Linked DNA regions of Anolis sagrei. The protein of the gene in region 2 purifies or fractionates together with the protein of the main gene of each other region. This does not show direct contact. Links are inferred from orthologs where the notes say so. Each region holds a gene or a part of one and is shown on either strand. Other genes may lie near its edges. The genes, in order: MMS19, FBXL5, ACO1 and CIAO2B.

What was found.
Region 1: the proteins of FBXL5 (region 2) and MMS19 purify together in Homo sapiens (affinity purification with mass spectrometry; 4 studies listed by BioGRID and IntAct, counting the BioPlex papers as one, with this or other methods). This does not show direct contact. The link is inferred for Anolis sagrei from reciprocal best matches to the Homo sapiens genes FBXL5 and MMS19.
Region 3: the proteins of FBXL5 (region 2) and ACO1 purify together in Homo sapiens (affinity purification with western blotting; 3 studies listed by BioGRID, with this or other methods). This does not show direct contact. The link is inferred for Anolis sagrei from reciprocal best matches to the Homo sapiens genes FBXL5 and ACO1.
Region 4: the proteins of FBXL5 (region 2) and CIAO2B purify together in Homo sapiens (affinity purification with mass spectrometry; 3 studies listed by BioGRID and IntAct, counting the BioPlex papers as one, with this or other methods). This does not show direct contact. The link is inferred for Anolis sagrei from reciprocal best matches to the Homo sapiens genes FBXL5 and CIAO2B.

The regions. Positions count from the first base shown.
Region 1 is NC_090023.1:217,825,287-217,832,761, forward strand, and holds the start of MMS19 (MMS19 nucleotide excision repair protein homolog), read right to left. Parts: upstream 3,020-7,475; 5' UTR 2,982-3,019; coding exon 2,888-2,981; intron 1-2,887. UniProt on the Homo sapiens protein: Key component of the cytosolic iron-sulfur protein assembly (CIA) complex, a multiprotein complex that mediates the incorporation of iron-sulfur cluster into apoproteins specifically involved in DNA metabolism and genomic integrity.
Region 2 is NC_090025.1:108,299,327-108,306,249, forward strand, and holds the start of FBXL5 (F-box/LRR-repeat protein 5), read right to left. Parts: upstream 3,008-6,923; 5' UTR 2,905-3,007; coding exon 2,821-2,904; intron 1-2,820.
Region 3 is NC_090022.1:205,178,502-205,186,005, forward strand, and holds the start of ACO1 (cytoplasmic aconitate hydratase), read left to right. Parts: upstream 1-4,481; 5' UTR 4,482-4,594; intron 4,595-7,504. UniProt on the Homo sapiens protein: Bifunctional iron sensor that switches between 2 activities depending on iron availability. Iron deprivation, promotes its mRNA binding activity through which it regulates the expression of genes involved in iron uptake, sequestration and utilization.
Region 4 is NC_090028.1:95,328-102,951, reverse strand, and holds the start of CIAO2B (cytosolic iron-sulfur assembly component 2B), read right to left. Parts: upstream 3,009-7,624; 5' UTR 2,941-3,008; coding exon 2,802-2,940; intron 991-2,801; coding exon 911-990; intron 1-910.

The DNA.
Region 1 (7,475 bases), on a different chromosome or scaffold from region 2:
TCACTCACTTGCCTTAAGCTACCAGGGTTTTTTGAAATTAAAAAAATAAACACAAGGCTGATTTGTTCTGCATTCAAGTGAGTAGAACCTACCTTCATTTGCCCTCCTCACCCCATGCTACTCCCCCAGAAAAAGCAAGTATTACAGTATCATCATGTCTGCTTTGTCAAATCTTCTGAATATCTGTTATATTCTTGCAGTTCTATGAAAAACAACTGCTGCTAATCATGCTGTTTCCAGGCCCTTAAGAATGGTCTGCCTGAAGCCACATCAACACTGACCATTTAATATCATACCAAACCAAACTCCCACAAAAGCACCCAAAATAAATCCCTTAATGAGCTCTTTTGTTTGTATGATCATCATTTGGGCTTTGTGCTGGTTCCAGAATGTCCTATAAAATCATCTGCACAGTGAAAACGCTTTCTTCAATACCAGTTTGAAACAGCTTTAAATTATCAGTGTAGTTGGGGTCTCAATTTGACAATGCTGTGATGGTAGGATACAAGGAAGTGAGCACAGTCCCAGCAGGTCTATTGCAAGAATGAATTATATAAGCACTTCAGCATCCAAGGTAGTTCTGCCTAATCTCGAAGACATCATAGAGAAAACATTTTGTTTATGTGTGTCCTGGACCAATCAAAATTTATGATGGTCAAACTGCTTCTTTCATGCTAATTAAGTGTTACAGAATCTACAAAGACAGTTAACAAAGGCTGCAGCAATGACTCCCAGTGAGCAAAGCACATGAAACTGCTGGCTTTTTATCTGGGTTTATTTTTTTCCTTTTTCTTCTTATACACAAGTCTGTAAGAGTTAGTTAGCAGAAATATTATTTTAATCTGCAAGGCTGGCATTCAGAAGTTAACCCTACAAGCATTGCCTAACCCTATTCCCAGCCCCAGAAAACAGCAAAATACACTTTCCTTTTACCCCAGAAAGAAAATGCCTGCCAAAAGCAAGACAATATTTTAATCAGTCATTAAATTAGACATTTTAGAGAGATAATCAAGAGACTTAGTTCGCTTCTGAACTCCCAGAAAGACACATGTTGAGCAACTGTCATTAGCTGCAATCCAAAGAACATTTACTAGAAATAAGTTCTACTGAGCACTATGGGACTTATTTATGAATACTTTTAGGACTGTACACTCTAAGGTTTATGTGTTGTACAAGGTACACTCCCATTGTAAAATGGGAGGCCCGCCATTTTTTATCTTCACTCCTCTTTTTATCTTCTAGTACAACTGTAAATATAATGTGGTCAAGTGTGAGAAAATTACCCCAGGCACTGCACTTTGACCTTATGTAGAGCTATCAGGTAAGATCCAAGTTGAACAAAATTTGGCTTGGATATAAACAGGGAATTTAATCACAGAAATTTTAATCACAGATCTATAGGACCATCAAGCAGGATGCTTTCTTACACAGTTGAATCTCCATCACAGGGATCCTTAACACTACAAGTTTTGTCTCTTTAAAAAAAAAAGTCGCGAATTGGCCGTCTGCAAGGATGTTGCCCAGGGGACACCCAGATGTTTTACCTCCTGTGGGAGGCTTCTCTCATGTCCCTGCACAAGGAGCTGGAGCTGACAGACAGGAACTTACCCTGCTCCCCTGATTCAAACTAATGACCTTTAAGTCAGCAGTCCTGTAGGCACAAGGGTTTAATCCATTGAGCCACTGGGGGCTCCTTCTTTAAATAATAAAAGGTTGCAGTACTCAGGCTTTCCATGTCAGAAACATTACTACATGCATCTGCTTCAGCCTTCTGGCTGTCCCTGGATGAGCAGTATGCACACCCAAAAAGCAGATGAGCAGCATCTGCTCTTGGATACTCAGGGTCAGCTCCTTCTCAAAAACAAAACAAAACAAAACACAGGGATGCAGAAGACTGATAACATGCCAGAGCTTCTTATTTACATCCAAGTGAAGTGCTAGCTGAGGTGGACAAAGAAGAAAGCTTCAATGTTTTTCTTTTCCCTTCCCATCTTTTCAAATTTTCCATTCATGTTTTGAATGATTCTATGCTGCATATTTAACAACAAAATAATTTTGGATTTCATTTGAAGAAAAAGTAGAATGCAATAAAGGAAGGAAACAATGCAACAATAAAGGAAGGAAACAATTTTGGTGCAAATTTATACATGTAGCAGTCGGCATGGTTAGCAACAAAAATGTAGCTGTAACAATGCTAAACACAACCTTACCCACAAGAACAAATAAAATGAAACTATTCTCAGGAGCACATCGGAAACTATGATTAACACACATCTACAAGCTGGCCTTCTTACTGCTTGGAGATAATAGCCAATTGCCCCCACTCTATTTTCCTTATTCTGAAGTATGTAGATGCACAGAAATAGAGAAACTGATGCCTTATTTGACTACACATGATCTTGACTCATTTTGATCAGGATTTCATATAAGTCACTCCACTGAAATGGCCTTGACATATGATATTCTAACAGCTCAGTGTCAAACATCTACACTGTAGAGTTAAAGCAGTTTGGCACCACTTTGAGCTACCATGGCTCAATGCTATGGAATCATGGGAGTTGTAGTTTGGTGGGGGGCACTCACAGCCTCCAGCAGTGAAGTTGCAAGACCTTGTAAAACTACAATTCCCATAAAGTCAATAAAATTGAGCCATAGCAGTTGAAGTGGTGCCAAACTGTATTCATTCTACATTGCAGAACAGGCCTGGGCCAACTTGGGCCCTCCAGGTGAAAGGGGCCTGAGGCTGTTAGGAATGGTGGGAGTTGTAGTCCAAAACACCTAGAGGGCCCAAATTGGCCCATGCCTGGAGTAGATGCTCTCCCCCTTTCAAGCATCTCCTTCCTCCCGCTCTAAGGCATCCCTCCGCTCTTTTCTACTCCAGCCCTACCTTCCGCCGCCTCGCGGGCCGCATTTTCCCGCTCCCAGCCCTGCAACGGGGAGGCAGCCGCCCCCAGGTCCCCGCCCGCCCCGCCGGCCGCCATGATCAGGCCGAGAGTCAGTAGGGCGAGGAGAGGCCGCGACGGCGCATGCGCGTCTCTCTCCCTGCCTGTCACGTGGGACAGCCTCCCAAGGCCAAGCTCCAAGCAGGGCGAGGGAAGCGGTGCTGCCTGGTCCCATTGACTAAAAGCGCACACTTTACAATAGACCTGGGCAAACTTTGACCCTTCAGGGGATTAGGACTTTAACTCCCTAGGAATTGTGGGAGTTGAAGTCCAAAACTCCTGGAGGGCCGAAGTTTGCCCAGGTCTAATAGACTTAACCAGGAGCCACGCAGTCATGCCGGCCACATGACCTTCGAGGTGTCTACGGACAACGCTGGCTCTTCGGCTTAGAAATGGAGATGAGCGCCACACCCCAGAGTCAGACATGACTAGACTTAATGTCAGGGGACTACCTTTACCTTTTTAATAGACTTAACACAGTATTTCTCAACCTGTGGGTCCCCAGGTGTTTCAGCCTACAACTCCCAGCAATCCTTCCCAGTTTACCAGCTGGGAAGGTTTTCAGAAAAAACATCTATTTCTGTTTTATTGACTACTAGCCATCCCCTGCCATGCATTGCTGTGGTCCAGTCTGTATATATGTGTTTATTGTGTCTATATTTGTGTATATGTGTGTTTGTATGTGGTTTTGCACATCTGTTGTAAAAAAAATGGTTTTTGGTTTTTAAGTCTCTTCTGCTGTGTTTTTCAGTGTTTTTATGAGTGATGGTCACTTGTTGGCCTGAGAGGTGTACTGTGTCCAAATTTGGTGTCACTTCGTCCTGTGGTTTTTGAGTTATGTTGATCCCACAAACTAACATTACATTTTTATTTATATAGATTCTAAAGCCTTTGACTGTGTGGATCATAATAAATTGTGACAAGTTCTTGGTGGTATGAGGATATCAAATCATCTTGTCTATCTCCTGAGGAATCTGTATAACAATCAAGTAGCAAAAGTAAGAATTGACCATGGAACAACAGACTGGTTCAAGATTGGGAAAGGCGTACGGCAGGGCTGCATACTCTCACCTAATCTATTCAGCTTGTATGCAGAACACATCATGCAATGTGCAGGGCTTGAGGAAAGCAAGGCTGGGGTGAAAATTGCTGGAAGAAACATTAACAACCTTAGATATGCAGATGATACCCCTTTGATGGCCGAAAGCAAGGAGGAGCTGAGGAGCATTCTAATCAAGGTAAAAAAAGAAAGTGCAAAAGCTGGGCTGAAGTTTTTTTAAAAAAAAAAAACCCAAAGATTATGGCAACAAGACTGATTAATAACTGGCAAATAGAGGAAGAAAACGTGGAGGCAAAGATTACTGCAGACACAGACTGCAACCAGGAAATCAGAAGTTTACTTTTGAGGAGGAGAGCAAAGGCCAATCTTGAAAAAATAGTTAAGAGTAGAGACATCACACTGGCAAAGAAGATCAAAATAGTTAAAGCAATGGTATCTCCCGCAGTAACCTACGTATGTGAGAGCTGGACCATAAGGAAGGCTGAGCGAAAGAAGATAGACGCTTTTGAACTGTGGTGTTGGAGGAAAATTCTGAGAGTGCCTTGGACCACAAGAAGATCCAATCAGTCCATACTTCAGGAAATAAAGCCTGATGCTCATTGGAGGGAAGGACAGTAGAAGCAAAGATTAAATACTTCGGCCACATAATGAGAAGACAGGAAAGCTTAGAGAAGACAATGATGCTGGGGAAAATGGAAGGAAAAAGGAAGAGGGGCCGACCAAGGGCAAGATGGATGGATGTTATCCATGAAGTGACTTGCTTGACTGAAGGAATTGGGGGTGGTGACAACCGACAGGGAGCTCTGACGTGGGCTGGTCCATGAGGTCACAAAGAGTCGGAAGCGACTGAACGAATAAACAACAAACATTATTATTATTATTATTATTATTATTATTATTATTATTATTATCTGCCTTGATATTCTGGGTTATATAGCTGCGTGGAAGGGCCCTAGAATAAACATAGTGAGGTTTTAAAAGTGATGCAGATCCAAGATTTATTTCAAGTGGGAATGTGACAAAGGAAAAGCAGAAGGCAAAGGTGATTGACCTTTGTTCCTGTTTGTTGTTTTATAATGTTCAACATTTTGTTCAAATATACTGCATTTTACTGGATGGCTTTATAGAAAAAATACACATACTGAAATAAAGAATTGGTTTGCTGATGGATCAAAGATTTTAACCAGTGAAGAGTAACATCCAAAAAAAGTACCATTGGCTAAACGAGATAAACAAAGAGACTGAGGGTCCTTCCACACAAACACATAATCCAGAATGTCTGCTTTGAGCTGGATTATCTGGCAATGTAAATTTAGATAATCCAATTCAAAGCAGATAATGTGGATTATCTGCTTTGATATTCTGGATTATATGGCAGTGTAGAGGGGCCCTTAGTATTATGTCTAAATCCCACAAAGTTATTGATATCTTTAAAAGGTTAGGTCACCGGGACTTGTATGTGTGAGGGAGACTGTTACAGAGGGTTTGATCTCATAATTTTGTCAACTGGCTGGAACAATATTTATTTTGAATATATGCTTTTGAGATAACATCCAACATTAAGATTAGAAACTCATTATAACCAACTGTAGTCTTCCCATTAGAGAACAGAAGAGTATGAGCTCTGTATCCATGGGTTTCGTGTATCCATGTCTGACAAATAGGTCCTCTAATTTTCTAAGCCCTCCAGTGTGACTCTAGCTCTTTCTACATTGCCATATAATCAAGATTATCAAAGCAGATAATCCACATTATCTGCTTTGAACTGGGTTATATGAGCCTACACTGGTATATAATCTGGTTCAAAACGGATAATCTAGATTTTATATGGCAGTGTAGAAGGAGCTCCAATCATATTCTTAGACAGATGTCCTTCATTTCAATAGAAATTAAGATTACTAACTGGGGCGACATACAGGGAACATACCTCCCCCCTGTTGTGCCAGCTCCACTGGCTGCCGGTCCATTTCTGAGCCCAATTCAAGTGCTGGTTTTGACCTATAAAGCTCTATATGGTTCTGGCCCAGCTTACCTGTCCGAACGCATCCACCCCTACATCCAACCTTGTAATCTAAGATCATCCGGGAAGGCACTGCTCTCGCTCCCGTCAACAGCACAAATGCGTCTGGCGGGGACGAGAGGCAGGGTCTTCTCGGCGGTGGCTCCCTGCCTATGGAACACACTCCCAACAGAGGTAAGATCGGCTCTCTCCCTCCTGGCTTTCCAAAAGAAATTAAAGGCATGGTTTTGGGACCAGGCTTTCAGACATTAGATATAGCAGCACTTTAGAGGGACATGACTGGAATGACAATATGGCTGACAAGACTGTTTTACTGTTTTAATGATTGCTTATGTATTGTTTAACTATTATTTGTGTCCAATTGTGATTTTATTATTGTAATTGTCATGTAGCGGCCTTGTAACGGGGCACATTGTAAGCCGTCCTGAGTCCCCCTTCAGGGGTTGAGAAGTGACGGGATACAAATACGGGAAATAAATAAATAAAATAAAATAGCCTCAGATTTGTTTATCCATGCAAAGTTGACACACACAGATGCAGGGCTTGTTATGCATTGTACAACCTGCCAAAACCCTAAATGGGCATATTTAATTTTGAGATATTTAGACATGTTCCTTGGATACATGAAATATAGGTATATACTGACAGACTGCTGGTGATTAGTCGTATAAAGGAAAGGGTTTTTCACTTCCAGCAGTTTAATAATAGCAAGTAAAAATTAAATAAATTCCCTTTCAGGGCTTTATGTCAGTCACTTATCTCCCAGCCTCACTGTTCATTTCCTGTAAAGTAATTATTTTACTAAATTTTTTTAAAGCTCTGTTGGTAGTTAATTTATTATTTATGACCACATCTTAGTGAAGCTCTGCTAGGCAATTTTAGCACTGTGTTAGAATTACTGATCTGGAATCACTCAGATATAGATTTATAAACACATCCTAGTCTATGCATCATGAACTATAACTGATGATTAGCTCTGCTTCCTTAGCCAGCATTAGTATCTCAAATCTGCACTCCAGCCACTATTTTGCACCTGCTTCTAGCTGGTAGATCTCAGAATGTTATTTAAATGCTTTTTCCTCCATAGGCTATAGCAATCAGATTATTTATTAATTAAGTGTAGGTGAACCTCCAATTGTTTTAGACTTCAACACATAGAAGTTGTAGCCTAATGTTCAGGAATTCTGGCAGCCGAAACCACACAATCTGGAGAACTAGAGGTTGAAAACCATTGAGTTAAAAATGTACCATTGACAACAGAAGGTGATGATCTCAGCAGTGGGAGAGACAACAAATGATGGGGAGTGCTGGGAGAAGCAATGGCATCACACAACAGAGACTGTGCAAATAGGGAAAGGAATGGTAACAAATACGGGCAGATAAAACGTCCTTGGCATATTATAACATTCTAAACTAAAAGCAAGGTCATGTTTTCAATTTTCTTGCACTGATT
Region 2 (6,923 bases):
TTTTGAACTTGAATATATGGCAGTGTGCACTCAGATAACCTACTTCAAATCAGGTATTGTGAGATTTTCTGCCTTGATATTCTGGGTTATATCATCATCAATATTATCATCATCAAAACTTTATTTGTCTCCTGCCCCCTCTCCCCATAGGGACTCAACATTAAATAATAAACAAAGCAAATGGGCAATATAAACAATCAATTATATGACTGTGTGAAAGGGCCCTGGGTTATCTGAGTCCACGTTGCCTTCTTTCGTTGCCACCACCATCACATAAAAGGGGGCCTTCTCAATGTCTGCTCCACAGCTCTGTAACTCCCTTCCAAAAGACATCAGAATGGCCCCCTCCCTACTAACTTTCAGGCTTCAGATAAAAACTTTTATCTGGAAGCAGACCTTCAATGAAAATTAATACAAGCTCGATAGGCGCCATAGTAATATCTGGTGCTGAACATTTCTGTGCAATACCTTATGGACATGTGGAAATTGGAAGGATAATGGCTTCGGTTTATGTTTATTATGTGCTTAACTATACTTAAAGTACTGATTGTATTTCAATCAGTAATGTGTTTTATTACGGTTTAATTGTCTTATTATGTTTTCATTGTTATTACTGACTATGTCAATTTCCTTTTTGTCCTAACATTCCTGTATGTTTTATATCTTGTTGTTAGTTGCTTTGAATCCCCTGTGGGGGAGAAAAGCAGGATGTAAATAAATAAATAATAACAATATATTCCAGTTCAAAGCGGAAAATGTGGATTTTATTTAGCTGTGTGGAAGGGGCTGTAGAGGCCTCCTTTCCTTTCCAGTTATGTCACAAGTGGCTTACAAAGAAGGGGGCTACGCCTAGAAAACCTCAAATGTAAAAGTGACAAAGTGCAAGGTGAAGACTGAAAGGAGGAAGTGTCTTCCAGGGTGAATAACTGCAGCTTGACCCACTTTGGCACCATCCACACACAGCTGAATAAAATCCTACGTTTTTTGCTTTGAACTGAAATATATGGCAGTGTGGACTCAGGGCCCTTCCACAGAGCCTTATAACCCAAAATATCAAGGTAGAAAATCCAACAATATCTGAGTCCATACTGCCATATATTCTAGTTCAAAGCAAAAAAAATAAATATGTGAGATTTTATTCAGCTGTGTAGAAGGGGCCTCAAGGCCCTTGCACACAGCCATATGACCCAGAAAAGCCACAATATCTGCTTTGAAGTTGGTTGTTATAGGGTGCTTCCATGCAGCCCTACATCCCAGAATATCAAGGCAGAAAATCCCACAATATCTGCTTTGAACTGGATTATCTGAGTCCACGCTGTCATATATTCCAGTTCAAAGCAGATATTGTGGGATTTCCTGCCTGGATATTCTGGGTGATATGGCTGCATGCAAGAGCCTTTAAAAGAGTGGGACCCCTTCCTAAATGGTTCTGGCCCAACTTACATATGTGAACGCATCTCCCCTTATGAACCATCTAGGACCTTAAGATCATCTGGGGAGGCCCTGCTCTTGTTACCGCCTTCATCACAAGTAAGTTTGGCGGAGACAAGAGACAGAGCCTTCTCGGCGGTGGCCCCTCAGCTGTGGAACACCCTCCCTATAGATATTATATCAGCCACCTCCCTTTTAACATTCTGGGAAAAAGTGAAGATGTGGCTTGTTGAACATGCGTTTCCAAATGCCGAGTAACTGTCATAGGAAAATGGAATGACGACAATGAGGCCGGACAACATTTTTAACAAGGAGACACTATGAATTTATATTTTATTGAGATGTTTAATTTTTTATTATATGTTATGTTTTAAATTATATTTATGATATTGTAAGCATTGAATTTTACCCTGTTCACCCCCTTGAGTCGCCTATTGGCTGAGAAAGGCGGTATACAAATACAGCAAATAAATAAATAAATAGTTGAATAAAATCCCACATTATTTGAACTGGAATATATGGCAGTATGGACTCAGATAATCCAGTTCAAAGCAGATATTGTGGAATTTTCTGCCTTGATATTCTGAGTTATATGGCTCTGTGGAAGGGTCCTAAGTTTTTGTCATGAAGGGACGCCAGAGGAGTCTTCGCGGAAGTGGATAGATTTAGGGCCCTTCCAGGCAGCCCCTATATCCCAGGATCTCATCTCAGGTTGTTTATCCCAGATTATCTGGCAGTGCGGGCTAATATTGTGGGGTTTTCTGCCTTGATATTCTGGGTTATATGGCTCTGTGGAAGGGTCCTAAATTTTCGTCATGAAGGGAGTGGAAGTGGATAGATTTTGGGCCCTTCCAGGCAGCCCCTATATCCCAGGATCTGATCCCAGGTTGTTTATCCCAGATTATCTGGCAGTGCGGGCGCATATAACCCAGTATAAAGCAGAAAAACTGGTATCAGTTCCTGGGATATAGGACCTGTCTGGAAGGGGCCTTAGAGTCGACGGAGGAAAAGAGGTGAGGAAAGAGGGGTGAGGAAAAGAGGTGAGAGTGAGTCCTGGGATGTCTTGGCGGGGGGAGGGGGGAGCCTTCCCAGAAGAGCGGCTGTTCCGCAAGGCCAGTGGAGGGAGGGGGTGTGATGCTGATGAGGCGCTCAGAGCGGCGCGCGAGGCGGGGACGTCTGCGCAGCCGCCAGTCTCGCCCCTCTCCTCAGATCGCGCGCGCTCGCCGCCCCCTCCCCTCCCCTCTGCTCTCGCGCCCAAACCCTCGCGCGCCAGGCTCCGAACCCTGGCTGATGGAAGCGCGAAGGGCCGGAGGCGTGTCTCGGCGGCCGAGAGGGTTCCGCAGAGCCCCGCCTGGCCGCCCCGCTCTCTTCCCAACCCGGCCTCCGTACCTTGTCGCAGTAGAGCCCCACGAGCTGCTTCATCCGCCAGTGCGGGGCCGTGAAAACATCCACCTCCTCAGGGAAGGGAGCCATCTTCTCTTCCCCATATAGAGGCGCTCGCTCGACGACCGCGGGTCAAACGGCGGCAGGCACGGCCTTCGCCTTGCGCACGCGCGCCGCAGCGGCCGCTCGCGACCCGACGCGGAAGGCGCATGCGCTGGCAGGTTGCTTCACAGGTCACGTGCGAAGCGTAGACCCAAACGAGGCGGAAGAGGCGATTTCCGAGTGCGCCGTTGGGGAGACGCCATGTTTCAGCGCCGCCCTTGAAAACCAGGGAGATTTCCATTCAGGGCCCTTCCAGGCAGGCCCTACATCCCAGAGTCTGATCCCAGGTTTTCCCTTTATCCCAGATTATATGGCAGTGCGGACTCAATCCAGTTTAAAGCAGGCAACCTGAGATCAGATCCTGGGATATAGAATCAGAGTTGGGCCATCCAGTCCAACCCCCTGCCAAGAAGCAGGAAAATTGCATTCAAAGCACCCCCGATAGATGGCCATCCAGCCTCTGTTTAAAAGCTTCCAAAGAAAGAGCCTTCACCACACTCTAGGGCAGAGAGTTCCACTGCTGAACATCTCTCATAGGAAGTTCCTCCTAATGTTCAGGTGAAATCTCCTTTCTTGCTGCATGGGTCCTTGCACATAAATGCCTTTTCGAAGAGTTCCCAAATTTTGAGGCCGTTTTTTCTGCTGAGAAAAACAATGTGGGCAGTCAGAAAATGGCTGCACTTCAACCCACCTTGCATAGGAAGAAAACATCTTTGGTTAGGTTTATACAAGTCTGAGAATTTGCTTTTCTCTGTTGTAAATAGACTTTGTGACGCTATCCTACCGTGAATGGAGATTATTTGCAGTAGAACTTTGTGAGCACAAATATATCATGTGATAAGGCAACAACCTTCAGGCAAGTTATCTCCAATTGAAAAGCGATTTTAGTCTGGACCGTGGCACACTGAGATGGAAGCCCCTTCTACACTGCCATATAAAATCCAGATTAAATTATTTGAACTGGACTATATGGTAGTGTAGACTGATATAATCAAGTTCAAAGTAGATAATATCATAGAATCATAAAATTATAGAGTTGGAAGAGACCTTGTGGACCATTCAGTCCAACCCCCTGCCAAGAACCAGAAAAATCACATTCAAAGCACCCCCGACAGATGGCCATCCAGCCTGTACTTAAAAAACTCCAAAGAAGGCGCTTCCACCACACTCAGGCAGAGAGTTCCACTCCTGAACAGCTCTCATAGGAAGTTCTTCCTAATGTTCAGGTGGAATCACCTTTCTTGTAGTTTGAAGCCATTGTTCCACATCCTAGTCTCCAGGGCAGCAGAAAACAAGCTTGCTCCCTCCTCCCTATGACTTCCTCTCACGTATTTATACATGGCTATCATGTCTCCTCTCAGCCTTCTCTTCTTCAGGCTAAACATGCCCAGCTCTTTAAGCCACTCCTCATAGGTCATGTTCTCCAGACCCTTGATAATTTTAGTTGCCCTCCTTTAGGGAGGGTCCTCCATTGTAAACGGGGAAGCTGCCAGTAAGGGCCCTTCCACACAGCCATATGATTATAATAAAATAGTTAAAAACTAATTTCTACACACTAGCATATGGAGAGGAGGAGGATTGGATGACGGATGCACAGCTAAGTAGGCCCTGTTTGGAAATTACTATTGCGTATGGGCTTTGATGACTTTGTTGGCCTTGTTGACACTACTGGCCATATAATTAATTTTAAACATTGCAAACGATCTTTTATGTGTGTGTGTTTTTAAAAACAAATGGTTGTACTTTTATGTTAATTATTAGATCAGGTTCTTAATGTTAGATTGTGTGTTTATAACTTGGTTTTAGATGTTGGTCTACTTTGGGATTTAGTTGGTTTGTTTATTTGTGTCTATTATTTTTCAAGGCATTGAATTTTTGCCTTTTTGTCTGTAGGAATCCGCCCTGAGTCCCCTTGGGGACATAGGACGGAATACAAATGAAGTATTAGTATTATTATTACATAACCTGGAATATCAAAGCAAAAAGTCCCACAATAACTGCTTTGAACTGGGGCCCCTTCCACAGAGCTGAATAAAATCCAACATTATTTGCTTTGAACTGGAATACATGGCAGTGTGGATTCAGATAACCCAGTTCAAAGCAGATATTGTGGGATTTTCTGCCTTGGTATTCTGGGATATAGGGCTGTGTGGAAGGGCCCTGGGTTATCTGACTGCCCTTTCACATAGCCATATAACCCAGAATATCAAGGTATTAGATCTTTCTGGTGGAGTTCAGAATGCTCTTTGATTGTAGGAGAACTATAAATCCCAGCAACTACAACTCCCAAATGACAAAATCAGTTGTGCCCCCCCCACCCCCAACCCCACTGTCTTCAAATATGAGTGTATTGATTGGGTATTTGTGCCAAATTTGGTCCAGTGAATGAAAATATATCCTGCATATCAGATATTTACATTATAATGCATAACAGTAGCAAAATTACTGTTATGAAGTAGCAATGAAAATAATTTTATGGTTGGGGGGTCACCCCAAAATGAGGAACTGTATTAAGGGATTGCAGCATTAGGAAGGCTGAGAAACTGGTTTAGAGGGCACTGTGGTTTTGGCTTTGAATACATTTTAAACTAGTTTTAAGGATTTACACTGTTTATTTTTATACCATTAATATTTAATTCTATGTTAATGTTTGTATGTTCTTCAGGTTTTAAATTGTATTGTATCTGTTTTATTGTAAGCCACTTTCAGTCTCTGGATAGAAAAATGGGGTATAAAGAATAATCATAAATAACAACATTATAGCTGTATTAGAAAATAGCAGCTCAATAATTTGTTGTTTTGTTCAGAGTGCAGTGTAACTTTTTATTTTGCACACAAAAATCAAGGTGGCATCATAGCAACAAAATTTTAGCAGCAAACCAAAGAAACAAAATATCACTCTCTAGGCCAAGAAAACAACAGTTTCCAAGCAATGTTAGAATGCCAGTAGTGTGGGAGCCGTGCAAGTTTCTGTGGGAGGATGTTCCATAGCCTAGGCAACCCTAAAGAGAAAAAAAGCCTTGTCTGCCAATTAGACTTCTGGTAACAGTGGGATGTGCTGCAGTTTTTTCCAATTCCCAGCTTGCCCAATGAAACTAAGGGACAATGTTCTACTTTCTGGACAAAAATATACTTTCAATGTGTAAAAAAAACAAAAAAAACAAACAGAAAATGTACTGCTTCTTGTTTTGCACGCACAGCCATAAATTGCTTGGTCCCTATGAAAGGTCTAAAACCAGACATTTTTACCTCTGTCATCAATTTTTCAATTTTCTGTGGTGGGACTGTGTGTGCCTGTGAGGCAAGAGGCTATTCTGGTGGTAGCGGTACAGCTAGTAGGGCCACCTAGTGTTCATGGTTTGAGTGAGTGGGTCAGAGATGGGGCTAAGCCCACAGTAGCAATAAAGGTAAAGGTAAAGGTTTCTCCTGATATTAAGTCTAGTCATCTGACTCTGCGGGGTGGTGCTCATCTCCATTTCTAAGCCGAAAAGCCGGCATTTTCCTTAGACACCTCCAAGATCATGTGGTCAGCATGACTACATGCAGCATCTTTACCATCCCGCAGAAGCGGTACCTATTGATCTACTCACATTTGTATGTTTTTGAACTGCTAGGTTGGCAGAAGCTAGGCCTAACAGCGGGAGCTCACCCTGCTCCCCGGATTCGAACCACCAATCTTTTGGTTAGCAAGTTCAGCAGCTCATCGGTTTAACCTGCTGTGCCACCAGGGGCCCCAGTAGTATACCCTTTCACAAATAAAAATCAGGATGTTTGTGCGCAGATCTGGGTGTGATTATTCAAAGGGGTCTCCTCAAAGAAAATTCTGTTTAACTGGAATGGCTCTCCATCTCCCCTGTGTTTTGAAAGTGCGTTCATTCCATTTGCTTCCTTTCAGAAGCAATTTGAAGTCATATCACACAGGATATACTGTTCCAAAGCAAGAAGAGGCTGTACCAGTTTTTGCCTGGATCTACTGGGAAGGGAAAGATTCTGTCCTTCCTTCCCCT
Region 3 (7,504 bases), on a different chromosome or scaffold from region 2:
TTTGAAATTGTACTGCATCCCTCTTATACACCTGACCTCGCACCATTGGACTTCCACTTCTTTCCAGCAATGATATTTTTGAAGGGCAAGGATTTTTCAGATGAGGAAACTCTGATTTATGAAGTCACAACATGACTTTTGGAGCAACCTGCCAACTTCTGCAAGCAAGGTGTTTTCAGTTACTTAAAAAGATGGGAGAAGTGTGTGTCTCTATGTGGCACCTATGTAGAGAAGGACTACTAACTATGCCAAGTTTCCTTGCTCTCGGTCCACAGGAAGTAGGTCAGGGGAAATCTTTCATTATCATGAGATAAGATTGTTCGTATCTTGAGATCTCAGCTGATGCTCATTTCAGCAACCCTACACTGATCATCACAGAAATCTGTGCTGCTTTCTTCGGGGAGAAAGGCAGCTTAACCTCTTCCAAGTTCCCAGCAGCAGCCAAACCAAGCCAGACAACCTGCTTGCTATGACAGTCCTGTGGAGCAGAAGGGGTGCCATGGGACCACAGAATACATATCTGTCAAGGCATCCCGTTCATTTTCCTCCCCTTGGCACCTCATTGTTACCTTGGGGGTCCTGGAAAAGGTCCAAAGAGCACTGTGAAAGGCTGTCATCTGACTGATTGATGCTAGTTTGGCAGAAACTCTCTTTATGCTTGCACTTTATGCCACATGCTTGGGATGTATAGTTGCACCCCTCAGGATCTTGTCAGACTCATGGAAGTAGGACACATGAATGGCACCAGCTCCACTACAGGCACAATAGTCACAAACCTCCCTGTATTTCTTGCTTGGGGACTCAGTTGTTTGTCCTACACTCCTCCGCTATCTTGTCATGCCCTTTTGCCCTTATCTGTTCTGACACATTCTGTAGGATTTCATAATTTCTATTTCTATGTGAAACTTTCAGCTGTGCTTGCATTTTCCCAGGCCCCATAGGCCTATGAGGTACAGCGTCTCCTGATGCCTTAGGATGCCCCTTTGCACCTTTTGGGGTCCCTTGTGTTTAAAGTGAGGTTAAGGGCTGTGCATCACATGGAACATTTGCTTTTATGGGGATATTTAGTGCTCTGTTGCAGCACAATTTTTGCATGATTTCTGATTTTCTTCTGACTTTTTTAAAACATGCATTTTCCCTGCTGATGAACATTGCAGTGCACATTAGAGGTGTGTGTTTTTGAAGCCACCTTCCTCCCTCATAATCCACTGCATTTTGGATCTCCTGGTCTGCGTAGATGGCACCCATAAATTGATGGTGAGGTCACGAAGAAGAGTCCTAAGTGACTGAACGAATAAACAAGTATCTTGATAGTGGTTAACAATGAATACATTTCAACACTAGAGGGCAGGTTTTGCTTAAGTATATGTACGTCAAGTCAACAATACTGTACAAAACCATACAATAGATACTTATATATAGATGCTTATGTGTTCTTAAGTTTAATTTGTATGTAAGTCAGAATAGGTACACTTTTAAAGTGATTTTAATGTTTGTATATATTTATGGTTTTATGTTCAGCATTGAATATTTGCCTTATATATCTTGTGCTCTGCCCCAAGTCCTCTGCGGGTTGAGAAGGGCAGAATATAAATGTTTTAAATAAATTAAATAAATAAATAGTGTGTAACTTTAAATGCATATAAGCATTCGGTAGCATAGGTAAGGGTTAACACTCCTGTGATGTTTGTTCTGCCGCCTGCGCCCCTGTTCAGAAGATTTCCCTTCACTTTTTGTCCCTGTGAAAATTGGATTTTGAAAAAAAAAAATTGGCTTGTTTTGAAAACAAGGATTGGTGAGAAAGCTTCAGTGGAGACACCCTTTTCCCATTACAATAACTCTTTCAGTAGTGAATGTCCCTTCCTAGGGATAGATTTCCCTCACTTCCTGTTGTCTCACCTCTGATCTTAACTCAGAGTCATTTGAAAATCAGATATTTGTAACTGTCCCTGTACAGCTACCGTAACTAGTAATGTTTTAATGGAGCCTTTTGTGGTAGAGGAAATCCATTGACAGGTGGGATTGGATGGGGATATGAATTTTAAAGCCATTTTAGTGTACTTACTGTATTTTAATTCTGTTTTTCCTTCACTGTTACTATTTAATTGCTTTTTAACTTTTGCATTGCCCTTTTTAAATGTGTCTAGTGTGGATATTATCTGATAATCTGGATTATATGGCAGTGTATTTAATTTATGGTCATATGTTTTCAACTTTGTTGTACCCCACCTCAAGCCATCAGGAGAGGCGGGTAATAAATAAAATGTATTTATTTATTAATCAGCCAGGCCTTGAAGCTGCAAGGCTTTGCAATGCTAATCAAGTTGATTAATTGTAACAATCACAATTGCCTCCAACAAACAAGAGTTCTTTCTCCCACTCTGGACCTTCCACAGATATATAAACCTCCCTTGCTTAGTTTACAATATGCATTAGGACAGAATGCTTCTGGAACATGGCCATACAGCCCGGAAAATTCACAAAAACCCAAAATGTATTATTCTTTTTATTATCATTAAAAAGATGTTAAAAACAGCTGCAATCCACTGGGTGGCATCATTATTATTAAGGTTATTTATATCCCACTTTTTTGCCAACTGCAACTCCCAAGATGCCGGGGCTGTTCAAGCGGTGCCAAACTGCACACATTTTACAGTGTTCCCCACCAAACGGCAACTCCCAAGATGCCAAGGCAGTTCAAGCAGTGCCAAACCACACACATTTGACAGTGTGCCTCACCAAACTGCAACTCCCAAGATGCCAGGGCAGTTCAAGTGGTGCTAAACTGCACACATTCGACAGTGTGCCTTGTCAAATTGCAACTCCCAAGATGCCAGGCAGTTTAAGCAGTGCTGCACCGCACACATTTGACAGTGTGCCTTGCCAAACTGCAACTCCCAAGATGTCAGGACAGTTCAAGTGGGACCAAACTGCATGCAGTCAACAGTGTGGAGGCAATGAAGCAGACTCTGGGACTTCAGTGACCAGCAAAGAAAGGGTCAAGAATTTGACATCTCTGACCCATCCCCTGAATAGATATCAGCCAACATGCCAACCTCTTAATTCAAGAAACAGCTTCCTAAGGGTTAGGGCAAGGGTTAGGGTTTGGTTTAGGTTTACAGTTAGGGTAAGGGTTAGGGGTTACAGTTAGGGTACGGTTTAGGGTTAGCGTAAGGGTTTGGGTTTGAGTTAGGGTTAGGATTAGGGTAAGGTTTAGGGTTAGGGTTTGGATAAGGGGTTAGGCTTAGGCTTATGATACGGTTCAGGATTAGGGTTAGGGTATGGTTTAAGGTAAGGGTTTGGGTAAGGGGTTAGGTTTAGGCTTACGGTACAGTTCAGGGTTAGCGTTAGCGTTTCACCATTAAAGAACTCTTACATTCCTTACATTATCTGTCTCCGGCCTGGCTTACATTAGCTAAATCTCTCTTGTGCATCCCGAAGGAGCAATGCGGCATCTCCGTAATGCTCGGAGCTTCCAGACCCAGCTATCATACTATTACCATGGCTTCTCTCATGTCCCCGCATGGGGAGCTGGAGCTGACAGAGGGAGCTCATCCTAGCTCTCCCCAGATTCGAACCTCCGACCTGTCAATCTTCAGTCCTGCCAGCTCAAGGTTTTAACCCAGGAGTCCTCAACTAAGGCCAGAGGTTCAGATGTGGCCCTCCAAGGTCATTTACCTGGCCCTCGCTCACAGTCTGAAACGACTTGAAAGCACACAACAACAATCCTATCTCATCAAGCCCACACTTCCCATTGAAATACTAATAAGTTTATATTTGTTAAAATTGTTCTTCATTTTAGTTATTATATTGTTTTAAAGTGTCTATTGCACTACAAATAAGATCTGTGCAGTGTGCACAGGAATTCACTCATGTTTTTTTCAAATTATAATCCGGCCCTCCAACACTTTGAGGGACTGTGACCTGGCCCTCTGTTTAAAAAGTTTGTGGACCCCTGGTTTAACCCATTGCGCCACCAGGGGCCAGCTAACACCTTCCAACAAAGGATCCCCCAGGCAGCAACCAGCTAGGCTTTGAAGCTGAAAGGCCAATAAATGCTAATCAAGATGGCCAATCGGAACATTTACACTTTCCTTCTACAGACAAGAGTTTTTTCTTCCACTCTGGACATTCCACATTTTCCTCGTTTCCAACAGACCCCTCAACCTTTGAGGATGCCTGTCATAGATGGAGGCGAAACGTCAGGAGGGAATGCTTCTGGAACATGGCCAACATGGAAAACTCACAGCAAACCAGTGCCTTCGACAATGCCAAGTTTTTAACTTTGTGGTTTTTAAATATATTATAACTGTATTCTCAATTTACTTCTGAAGCGATAAATAAATAGTGACCCCAGAGGGAGAGCTTTGGGCTCAGATCAGATGAGAAACCAGGAGGAGGAGGCTTTCCTGGGGCCTGAAGGGAGGAGGAGGAAGCGCCCTCCTCCTCCTCTCCTCCTCCTCTCCTCCTCCTCCGCCTCCTTGACCCGGGAAGGAGGAGCCTGCGCGCAGAGGCAGAGCCGAGTTCAGCTGGCGGCTCCTGCTTTCTGGGCTGCACCGTGGCTTCTCCTTCTCTTCCCTGGGCCTCCGTCCAGGTAGGTGCCTGAAGCGCCTTCCCAGCGCCTGCCTGCCTGCCTGCCTGCCTCCCTTCCTTCCTTCTTTCCTCCTTTCTCCCCAGGCTTTTCTTGATCTCTGCTTCCTGCCTTTTCTGACTCCAGAGTAGCGCCTCCATAGTTGTGAATTTCCTTTTGGGATCTGGGGGGGGGGGGGGTGTTTATTTCTCTTCCTTAGTGTATTCTGCCATTGAATGTTTGCCATTTTTTGTTATTGGAAACCTCTCTGAGTCCACTGTGTTGTCGAAGCTTTCATGGGCAGTATCATTGGATTGCTGTGAGTTTTCTGGGCTGTATGGCCATGTTCCAGAAGCATTCTCTCCTGACGTTTCGCCTGCATCTATGGCAGGCATCCTCAGAGGTTGTGAGATCTGTTGGGATTTAGGCAAGTGGGGTTTATATACCTGTGGAATAATGTCCAGGGTGGGAGAAAGAACTCTTGTCCGCTTGTGTCAAGTGTGGATGTTGTAATTTGCCACCTTGATTAGCATTGAATGGCCTTGCAGCTTTAAAGCCTGGCTGGTTGCTGCCTGCAGGGGAATAACGTGATTTTAACAGCAATTGCTATGTTTATATGTTTTAATCTGTATTTAATTTTAATTTTAAAATATTTAATTTTAATGTATTTTAACATTGTTGTTCAAAGGCATTGAATAGTTGACATATGTAAAGCTGCCTTGAGTCCCCTTTGGGTTGGAGAAAGGCGGGATACAAATAGAGTAAGTAAATAAATAAATTTGTTGGGAGGTGTTAGTTGGCCCTGATTATTTCGTGTCTGGAATTCCCCTGGTTTTTGTGTTCCTCATTATTTACTGTCTGGATTTTAGAGCTTTTTTTAAAATACTGGTATCCAGATTTTGTTCATTTTCATGGTTTCCTCCTTTCTGTTGAAATTGTCCATGTGCTTGTGGATTTCGGTGGCTTCTCTGTGTAGTCTAACATGGTGGTTGTGAGAGTGGTCCAGCATTTCTGTGTCCTCAAGTAATATGCTGTGTCCAGGTTGTTTCATCAGGTGGCTGAGTCCCTTTGGGGAGATAGGGTTGTATAAAAATAAAGATTATTATTGTTGTTGTTATTGTTTTTGTTTTTATTTCTGCAGACCCCTTTTATTATTTCACCCAACTTTTGCTCCAAAGCAGGCCTACTTCCAGAAGCACTACTCACTCACTGCATAGAAGGCCTGCCAAAAGGCAGGCTGCATCTGCTGTCACTGACATGGCTTCCTGGGTGTTGTAGTTCGGTGAGGCACCAGCCCTCTTTGGCATAGAAGGCAAAAGGCCTCATGAAACAAGGGCTCCTTCCAGACAGGCCCTATATCCCAGGATCTGATCCCAGTTTTTTTTTGTTTATCCCAGATTATCTGGCAGTGGGGACTCATATAATCCAGTTTAAAATAGAAAACTTGGAATCGGATCCTAGGATCTGGGGCCAATCTGGATACAGGGCCAGCCTGCAGGCATGGCAGTTCAGAGTGCCTTCATTCTACAGCAAGCATGGGCCAACTTCAGTCTACAGTCTCCAGCCTCCTCTATGGACACCCCCCCCCCCCCATGGTGCAGTGGGTTAAACCAGGGGTCCTCAAACTTTTTAAACAAAGGGCCAGGCCACAGTCCCCCAAACTGTTGGAGGGCCAGATTATAGTTTGAAAAAAATATTTCTATGCACACTGCACATATCTCATTTATAGTGCAAAAAACACTTTCAAACGATTGAAATGAAGAACAATTTTAACAAATATAAACTTATTAGTATTTCAGTGGGAAGTGTGGGCCCACTTTTGGCTGATGAGATAGGATTGTTGTTGTTGATGTTGTTGTTGTTATGTGCTTTCAAGTCGTTTCTGACTTAGGTTGACCCTGGGCAAGGGCCGGGTAATTGACCTTGCATATTCGGCCCTCGGGCCTTAGTTTGAGGACTCTTGTGCCGGCAGGACTGTAGACTCACAGGTCACAGCTTCAAATCAGGGGAGAGTGTGGATGAGCTCCCTCTGTCAGGTCCAGCTCCCCATGCGGGGACATGAGAGAAGCCTCCCACAAGGATGGTAAAACATCAAAACATCCAGGCATCCTCTGGGCAATGTCCTTGCAGACAGCCAGTTCTCTCACACCAGAAGCGACCTGCAGTTTCTCAAGTCGCTCCTGAAATGAAAAAAAAAAAAAGCCTTCTCTGTCAAAGAGTTCTGTGCCTCAGCAAAATGCAAATCCCATGATTCTATAGCTTTGAGACATGGCAGTTGAGGTTGTGTCAACTGCATTAATTCTAGTATCCTTCCTTTCACCAGATTCTTAAAGGGATATAGGACCCAAAAAAGTTTGAAATCCACTGAACTAATTATACTGTTAGATTGGAAACTTTTCTTTCTTTCATTCTCTTTTTTATATTCTTGATTCTTGAGACACCACACCACAAAGGGTTTTGATTTGCCTTGGAAAATAAGTTTTCAAATTTCTCAGAGTGCCTTTTATTGAGCAGTATTATTTCTTTCCTAAACCCTTTTCATTAAAAAAAATGTCCTCCCTTTCTCTTTCTCCTTTCCCCTACTTACCCTGTTTGTCAGCAGGAGCAAAGTACATTGTCCTTTGCTTCAGGCTGTGGTTTATTCTCCCCTCCCTTCCCAAGATGCCAGAGGCTGTTTAAGCTCCGAGGTCCTCTTGGGTGGGCATTTCCCTGCTTATATCAAAACAAACTAAGCACAGCACACGTTTTATCTTGATCAACTTTAAATTGAGGATTATGATTCTTAGATCCTTAGGATTTTCTCCTAACTGCTGACTGTGTGTTGTGATTGGGGGCAGGAGTATAAGATAGGTAGAGTCTGGTAAAGTTATGCTTTTGATTCCAACTTGGGGGTCCTAGCCATCCAAAAAAGTAACTTTGCTATGTTCGCAAAGT
Region 4 (7,624 bases), on a different chromosome or scaffold from region 2:
TCACAGTCAGGAAGTTCTTCCTCATGTTCAGATGGAATCTCCTCTCTTGTAGTTTGAAGCCATTGTTCCTTTGTGTCCTAGTCTCCAGGGAAGCAGAAAGGAAGCCTGCTCCCTCCTCCTCCCTGTGGCTTCGTCTCACATATTTATCAATGGCCCTCATCATATCTCCTCCCAGCCTTCTCTTCTGCAGGCTAAATATGCCCAGCTCCTTAAGCCGCTCCTCATAGGGCTTGTTCTTCAGATAGTAAGTAGATATATATATATACACACAGATAGATTGATACTGATAGAAGGTAAGTAGATAGATATAGCTATTTGATTTGTCATTGATCCACTCTGGCTTTGTGCAAATCTCCTATTTCCCAAACTATATGATCCTGTGCTTTGCTTTTCTATTTCCGTCTGAACAATTTAACCCTTGGTTCCTCCCCACTGAGTGCAAGGCCTGTGGCCTCTTCCTCTCCAGCTTGGGAGTCGGATGTCCACCCGCGGCCTTTTGCAAGAGGCTCTGTCCATCTCATTTTTGCCCCACAGGCCTCTTTGACCCTGCCCCACAGCCCAGTTCTTTGGCGCAGCTCCTCATGGCTGGCGTTCTCTCTCCTTGTCCTGCCACACGTCCATCCATCCATCCATCCATCCATCTTTCTTTCTTTCCTTCCTTCCTTCTTTCCATTGCTCTCTGGGTCACCGCCAACTTTCCGTCCTCTATCTTTGTTGTTGCCTATGTTCTTGCCCGTGTGTGTTTGTGTAAGGGGGGTGGGGGGTGGTGGTGAGATAGCTAGCTAGAAAGAGACATAGACACACAGAGACATAGAAAGAGATGTAGACTCATGGAGACATTGAGAAACTGATAGTGATAGATAGTGACAGAGATGCAGACAGAGAGATCTAGGCAGAGAGAGAGAGAGACCTGGACGCGTGCCTCCTCGACCACGTTGAGCTCCTCCAGGGTCAGCGGGTGCTCCGGGTCCGAGATGGCGCGGATGAGGTGTGCGGGTGTGTTAAGGAGAGAATACTGCATAGCTATGAATGTGTCAACCTTGCTCATACATGTGTAACTGTTCAACAGGAATCCACCCAACATCTTTGCTAAGTTCATTTTGGAGTTATTGGTTGTTCAGTCTTGCATCGTAGTTCATTATGATGCACAATACGTGAATGCTGAACAATTCAGTGGAAAGGGAAATGGCAACACAATGAACTAATAATAACAGTTAATCAAACCGAACCGTTGATGAAGTGTGCACTTCTTCCTAAGCTATCTGATGTGAGAGAACCGCATCCTGCTCCCTCGCTGCAGCAAACTGGGACCATCTTTGTGTACCCTGGTATCAATTCCCCCCCCCCCCCCCCCCGGGAAACTCTCCAGGTCCCAGCCACCAATGGGCCAAGGCCAATCCGTGGAGCATTCCTTTGAGTCGCACTGATTTAACATCAACAATACTTCTTTTTTAGGTCAAAATTCTAGAGACGTATATTTAAAAACTGTCAATAAAAATAACCATGAACAATTTATACATCTCAAATAAACATCAAAGAAAACAAAACAAATTGTGGCGCAGCTGGCTGAGCGTCATCTGCATTCAGATCTCTCTGACCAAAAGGTCATGAGTTCAAAGCTAGCCCGGGTTGGAGTGGGTTTCCAACCAATTGTGTAGCCCGTTGTCGACCTTTGCAACCCGAAAGAGAGTTGCATCTGTCAAGTAGGAAAATAAGGTACCACCTTTAAAAAGTGTGGGGAGGCTGGATTAACTGATTTATGAGGCCATAAAGAAGACTCCAGCAAAGCATTCCAGCGGGAAGCATGCGGGGAATGCGGAAGTGCTTCATCAGCGTCGCAGATGGACGAGGAAAGCGACGGCTCCCCTGGTGCCCAGAAAAAAGTGAAATAGCCTCTGTGTATGTATATGTTTGCATGTCAAAAATTGGCATTGAATGTATTGTCGAAGGCTTTCATGGCTGGAATCACTAGGTTCTTGTGGGTTTTTTCGGGCTATAGAGCCATGTTCTAGAGGCATTCTCTCCTGACATTTCACCTGCATCTATGGCAAGCATCCTCAGAGGTAGTGAGGTCTGTTTGGTAACTGGGAAAAGGGGTTTATATATCTGTGGAATGGCTGAGGTGGGGCAAAGGACTCTTGTCTGCTGGAGCTAGGTGTGAATGTTTCAGCTGATCACCTTGATTAGCATTTGAAGGCCTGCCTGAGCCTGGGAAAATCTCTTGCTGGGAGGTGTTAATCTGGTTGTTTCCTCTCTGTTATTTTGCTGCTGCAATTCTAGAGTTTTTTTAATACTGGTAGCCAGATTAACACCTCCCAGCAAGAGATTTTCCCAGGCTCAGCCAGGCCTTCAAATGCTAATGAAGGTGATCAGCTGAAACATTCACACCTAGCTCCAGCAGAGAAGAGCTCTTTGCCCCACCCCAGCCATTCCACAGATATATAAACCCCCCTTTTCCCAGCTCCAGCAGACCTCACTACCTCTGAGGATGCTTGCCATAGATGCAGGCGAAACGTCAGGAGAGAATGCCTCTAGAACAGCGCCACATAGCCCGAAAAAACCCACAAGAACCTACTGGCATGGAATGTTTGCCATATATGTGTGTACACTGTGATCCGCCCTGAGTCCCCTGCTGCGGGGGGAGGAGAAGGGCCGAATAGAAAAGCTGCACATAAATAAATAAGTAAATAAATAAACAGGAGGTCCTCCTTCCTTCCTCCAGGCAGGGCAGCCCCCTCCCCTCCCCTCCCCTCTAAAGCCCCCCCCCCCCCCCGCCCATTCCCCGCCGGCGGGAAGGATATCGAAGACCTCCCTGGGGTCGATGGGGTCCGGCAGGGCCTCGTCCTCCTCGCGCGGCGTCACGGCCCGCTCGCCCTGACGCCGGAACACCAACGGGTTCGCGTTCTCCAGCAGACCCTTGCCCCCACCCGCCATCGCCATCGCCAGGCGCCTCCGCGCCGGAACGCCTCCGCCGGGACACGCGCCCCCGGGGAACCACAAGCACGGCGCACACGCTTCCGGAGGACGGGACAGGGAGGGAGGGGGGAGGGAAGGAGGGAAGGAGCCCGGCGCGCGCGCCCCCTGCCGGCCCGGGGAGGGAGGGAAGGAGGGAGGGAGGGAGGCTCAGGCAGGAGGCGCCGCCAATGGGGGAAACCGGGGCGAGGAGCCTCTCGCTCGGCGGAATGGCCGGCCAGCAGGGGGCGTGGAGGGAGGGAGCGGGTTGCACACAACCGGCTTCACAGCAGAGACGCTAGAGCTGGTGTTCGGGGGGTGTCTATTCGTGGCCACTTTGTTGTTGTTATTATTATTATTATTATTAGCCGTCTCCTGCCAGGCGTTGCTGTGGCCCACATGGGGGTTCTGTGTGGGAGGTTTGGTCCAATTCCATCGTTGGTGGGGTTCAGAATGCTCTGTGATTGTAGGTGAACTATACATCCCAGCAACTACAACTCCCAAATGTCAAGGTTCTACTTTTCCCCAAACTCCACCAGTGTTCACATTTGGGCATATTGAGTCTTCGTGTAGAGCAGGGGTCCCCAAACTTTTTAAACAGAAGGAAGGCCAGGTCACAGTCCCTCACATTGTTGGAGGGCCAGGTTATAATTGCAAAAAACAAAAAAAACCCACCCCCAAATAAATTCCTATGCACACTGCACATCTCTTATTTGTAGTGCAAAAACACTTAAAACATAATAATTAAAATGAAGAACAATTTTAACAAATATAAGCTTATTAGTATTTCAATGGGAAGTGTGCGCCTGCTTTTGGCTGATGAGATAGGATTGTTGTCGTTGTTGTGTACTTTGAAGTTGTTTCAGACTAAGGTTGACCCTGAGTTTGAGGATCCCTGGTGTAGAGTTTGGTCCAGATCCATCATTGTTTGAGTCCACAGTGATCTCTGGATATAGGTGAACGACAACTCCAAAACCAAAGGACACTGCCCTCCAAACCCTTGCAGTATTTTCTGTTGGTCATGGGAGAACGGTGTGCCAAGTTGGGTTCAATTCCATCATTGGTGGGGTTCAGAATACTCTTTGATTGTAGGTGAACTATAAATCCCAGGAACTACAACTCCCAAATGACAAAATCATTTTTTTGAGTGAAGGTCACTCATTGGGTTGTTATGTGTCTTGTGTCCAAATTTGGTGTCAATTCGTCCAATGGTTTTTGAGTTCTGTTAATCCCACAAACGAACATGACATTTTGATTTAGATAGATTGTGTATGTAGAAAACAAAACAAATAAAAGGGGGAAAAAGAAAAAAAATATTCAAAAAATTTACCAAAGAGTGGGGTCAGGGGGTGGGGTTCATGGGGGGGGGGGGATAGAGGGTTATGAAATGTTAAGGTATAAATAATTGTACAACCAAATCTGTTTGTTCGTATGTTTAATGAGCACTGAATATTCACTCTTTTATTCGTGGCCACTTGATGTCCTGGCGCAGAGTCTTTCCCTTTGCGGGACTGAGGTCCTCGGGGGAGGTCCAGGCACAATGGCTGGGGGCCAGAGAGATAGAGAGACAGGGGCTTCTCGGTGGTGGCCCCCCGGCTGTGTATCTCCCTCCCTGGAGAGAGGAGAGCACCCCCTCCTCCCTCTCCTTCAGAAAGAGGGTCAAGACCTGGCTGCGGGACGGAGCCTTTGGGGCAGGGCAAGGGGGCAAGGACAGGACACACACACCCCTCGGATGACCGGAGCCAGCAGTAGCAGGGTGAGCCTAGATATGGAATGCTTGCTGGGTGTATGCGTTGTGCTCTGCCTTGAGTCGGGGTGAGAAGGGCAGAATATAAGGGTCTCAAATAAATAAAGTGTTCCAGCAGCATTCTCTCCTGACCTTCCCCCTGCTGCGGAGGCCAAGGTCATCTTCAGAAGATCTAACCCAAACCCTAATTGGCCAACAAGTTAAACATGAGCCAGGAATGATGTGGCGGCAAAAAAAGCCAATGAGATTTTGGTCTGCATCAAGAGGAGCCTCGTGTCTAGATCTAGGGAAGTCTCTCCCCCCCCCCCCCTCCCCGGTGCTCTATTCTGCTTTGGTTAGACCACGTTACCTGGAATATTGTGTCCAATTCTGGGCACCACAATTCAAGAGAGATATTGACTCTAAGCTGGAATACTGTGTCCAGAGGAGGGCAACTCAAATGATCAAGGGTCTGGATGATATCGAGCTCTTTTAGGGGGCTCCTCCAGACGGGAGAGCCCTAGGACTGCACCAAAAAGAGTCCTGGATACCTTGGTGAGATTTTTCCGGAAGCCAATCCAAGAGCGCAAGAATATTTTTTAATATATAATCAGCTCACCAGAGGCGGAAGAAGTCCAGCGATCGAGGTTTCTTTGCGATTCAGCTGAGTCGGATGCAATTGTAGGGATAGTTCCTCTACAAGCATCCAGATACAAAGATTTCAGGCATTTTTATACAGTACAGAACAAAAGAAAGCAGTTTGAAACTCCCGCTGCCCCTTGCCGGCCGGCTTGATGCTGATTGACTGAGGCTGGAACAGCTGGGAGGAGGCTTGGCGGCCCGCCTCAGCTTACAGCCAATCAGAACGTTTCCTCGCCTCAGGAGGGCCAATGAGCGCCCTCCGCTCGCTTCCGAGTCTGGACCAATCAGGAGCGAGGAGGGTGGGACGGCCGCAGACAAAGGGGAAAGATGATGGGATTTGGATTTCCTGCCTGCTGGAATGCGGGCTTTGTCTTGGGCAGGAAAAGGGTGATATTTGGTACACAAAGAGCTTTCCTGTCCTTGATGGGTCTGGCGAGTGACTTGAATGGGCTAGATCGATATCGGACCACCCGGAGGGTCAACAATATCTGGGTGAATTAATCAGTCTCTTTTTCCGAGGCTCTGCTGACCCCTGTTCCCTCGCTGGCCTTGCTCCGAGGGCTAGGGTTGGGGATCAGCAGCATTGTCCGTGCTGATGAGTCAATCAATGGGTGATTGAGGAAGAGGCTGGGGCTCTTCCCTCAGGCAGTTCCTGGTCACGCCGGTTTTTGGTGGGGCGAGGGTCAAGGGGGGTGAGGATACAGAGGAATTCATAAGGGTTACATATTTCATAATCACAAGGCATAGGCATCACTAACTTACAGGCATTTCATATTCTTACAACCCACAATCCACCCCTAACCCCAGTTCATTACAGTAAGAAAATATTTTATTTATTTCATAAAAAAAGGAGAAAAGGAAAACTGGAAATCCCAAAGTCCGGGCGAAGAGGCTTGGAGGTGGAGGTCAGCCCAGGGTCCGGGCTAGCCAACAGAAGATCGGTTCTTCTTTGAAGCAGAAGCTGGAGCTGAAGGGGGAGCTGAGTTCCACTGCTCTGTCCTTGGTAAAACTAGCGCTCCCAACCGAGGATCGGGCCTCCCTGCCCGCCCCTCCTCTCCCAGGGCTCTTTTTTGGACAACGGCGGTGGGTCCCCGGCAGCGGGGGCCATGCAGGAGCGAGCGGCAGTGAGCGAGATGCAGCAGTCCGGAAAAGCCGGCAAAATTTGAAAATCAGCTGTTGACTCGGCCAGATTTAATATTTAAACAAAAACAATTATTTCCCGGGTGCAGGAGTCCAAAATGAGAAAACCAAGATGGCAGTTAGTCTTAGAATCTAATGCAGAAAAATATGAAATTTGAACGGGGCCGATCCGCCATGTTGTTGTTTTGGCGGATAAGGGGGCCCATTAGGAAAACCTCCGTATCCGCGGTTTTAACTAACGCAGATTTGGGGCCCCGGGGAGGCCGGGAAGGCATCCCCGGTGAGCTCACGGCTCCCCAGAGCTCAGAAAAAGGTTTATTTTTTGTTAGAAAAGTTTCAGTCAGTAAAGGACACAAAGTATCAAGCGGAAAGGATTTAAAGTTTCAAATCTTAAGTGTTTTATTAGGGGCTTTGTTACAAAGAGAGGGAGAGGGGAAAGTGAAAGAAAGGCTTCTTGCAGCCTTGAGTTTAGCTTGAGCTGCTCGCTGGGGCACATTCCATCAGTCAGGCCCAACTTGGCTCTCCGGAACTGCGGAACTCCCTGCTGCGGTTCAGACCAGCTTGAAGGCGGGAGATCCTGCCGCCTGGGGGGACAACATGGAGAACAAGCCCTATGAGGAGCGGCTTAAGGAGCTGGGCATGTTTAGCCTGAAGAAGAGAAGGCTGAGAGGAGACATGATGAAGGCCATGTATCAATATGTGAGAGGAAGCCTCAGGGAGGAGGAGGGAGCAAGCTTGTTCTCTGCTTCCCTGGAGACTAGGACGCAAGGGAACAATGGCTTCAAACTACAAGAAAGGAGATTCCACCTGAACATGAGGAAGAACTTCCTGACTGTGAGAGCCGTTCAGCAGTGGAACTCTCTGCACCAGAGGGAATGTGGTGGAGGCTTCTTTGGAGGCTTTAAAACAGAGGCTGGATGGCCATCTGTCCTGGGTGATTTGAACGTGATTTTCCTGCTTCTTGGCAGAATGGGGTTGGACTGGATGAAGGCCCAGGAGATCTCTTCCAACTCTAGGATTTGATGATTCTATGATCTAATGGCGATAAAGCAAGTGGAATGCACACACACACACACACACACACACATATCTGTGGAATAGTGTCCAAGAACCCTCGTCCATGAGAGCAAGTGCGCATGCTGCAATTCGCCAGTTTGAATAGCA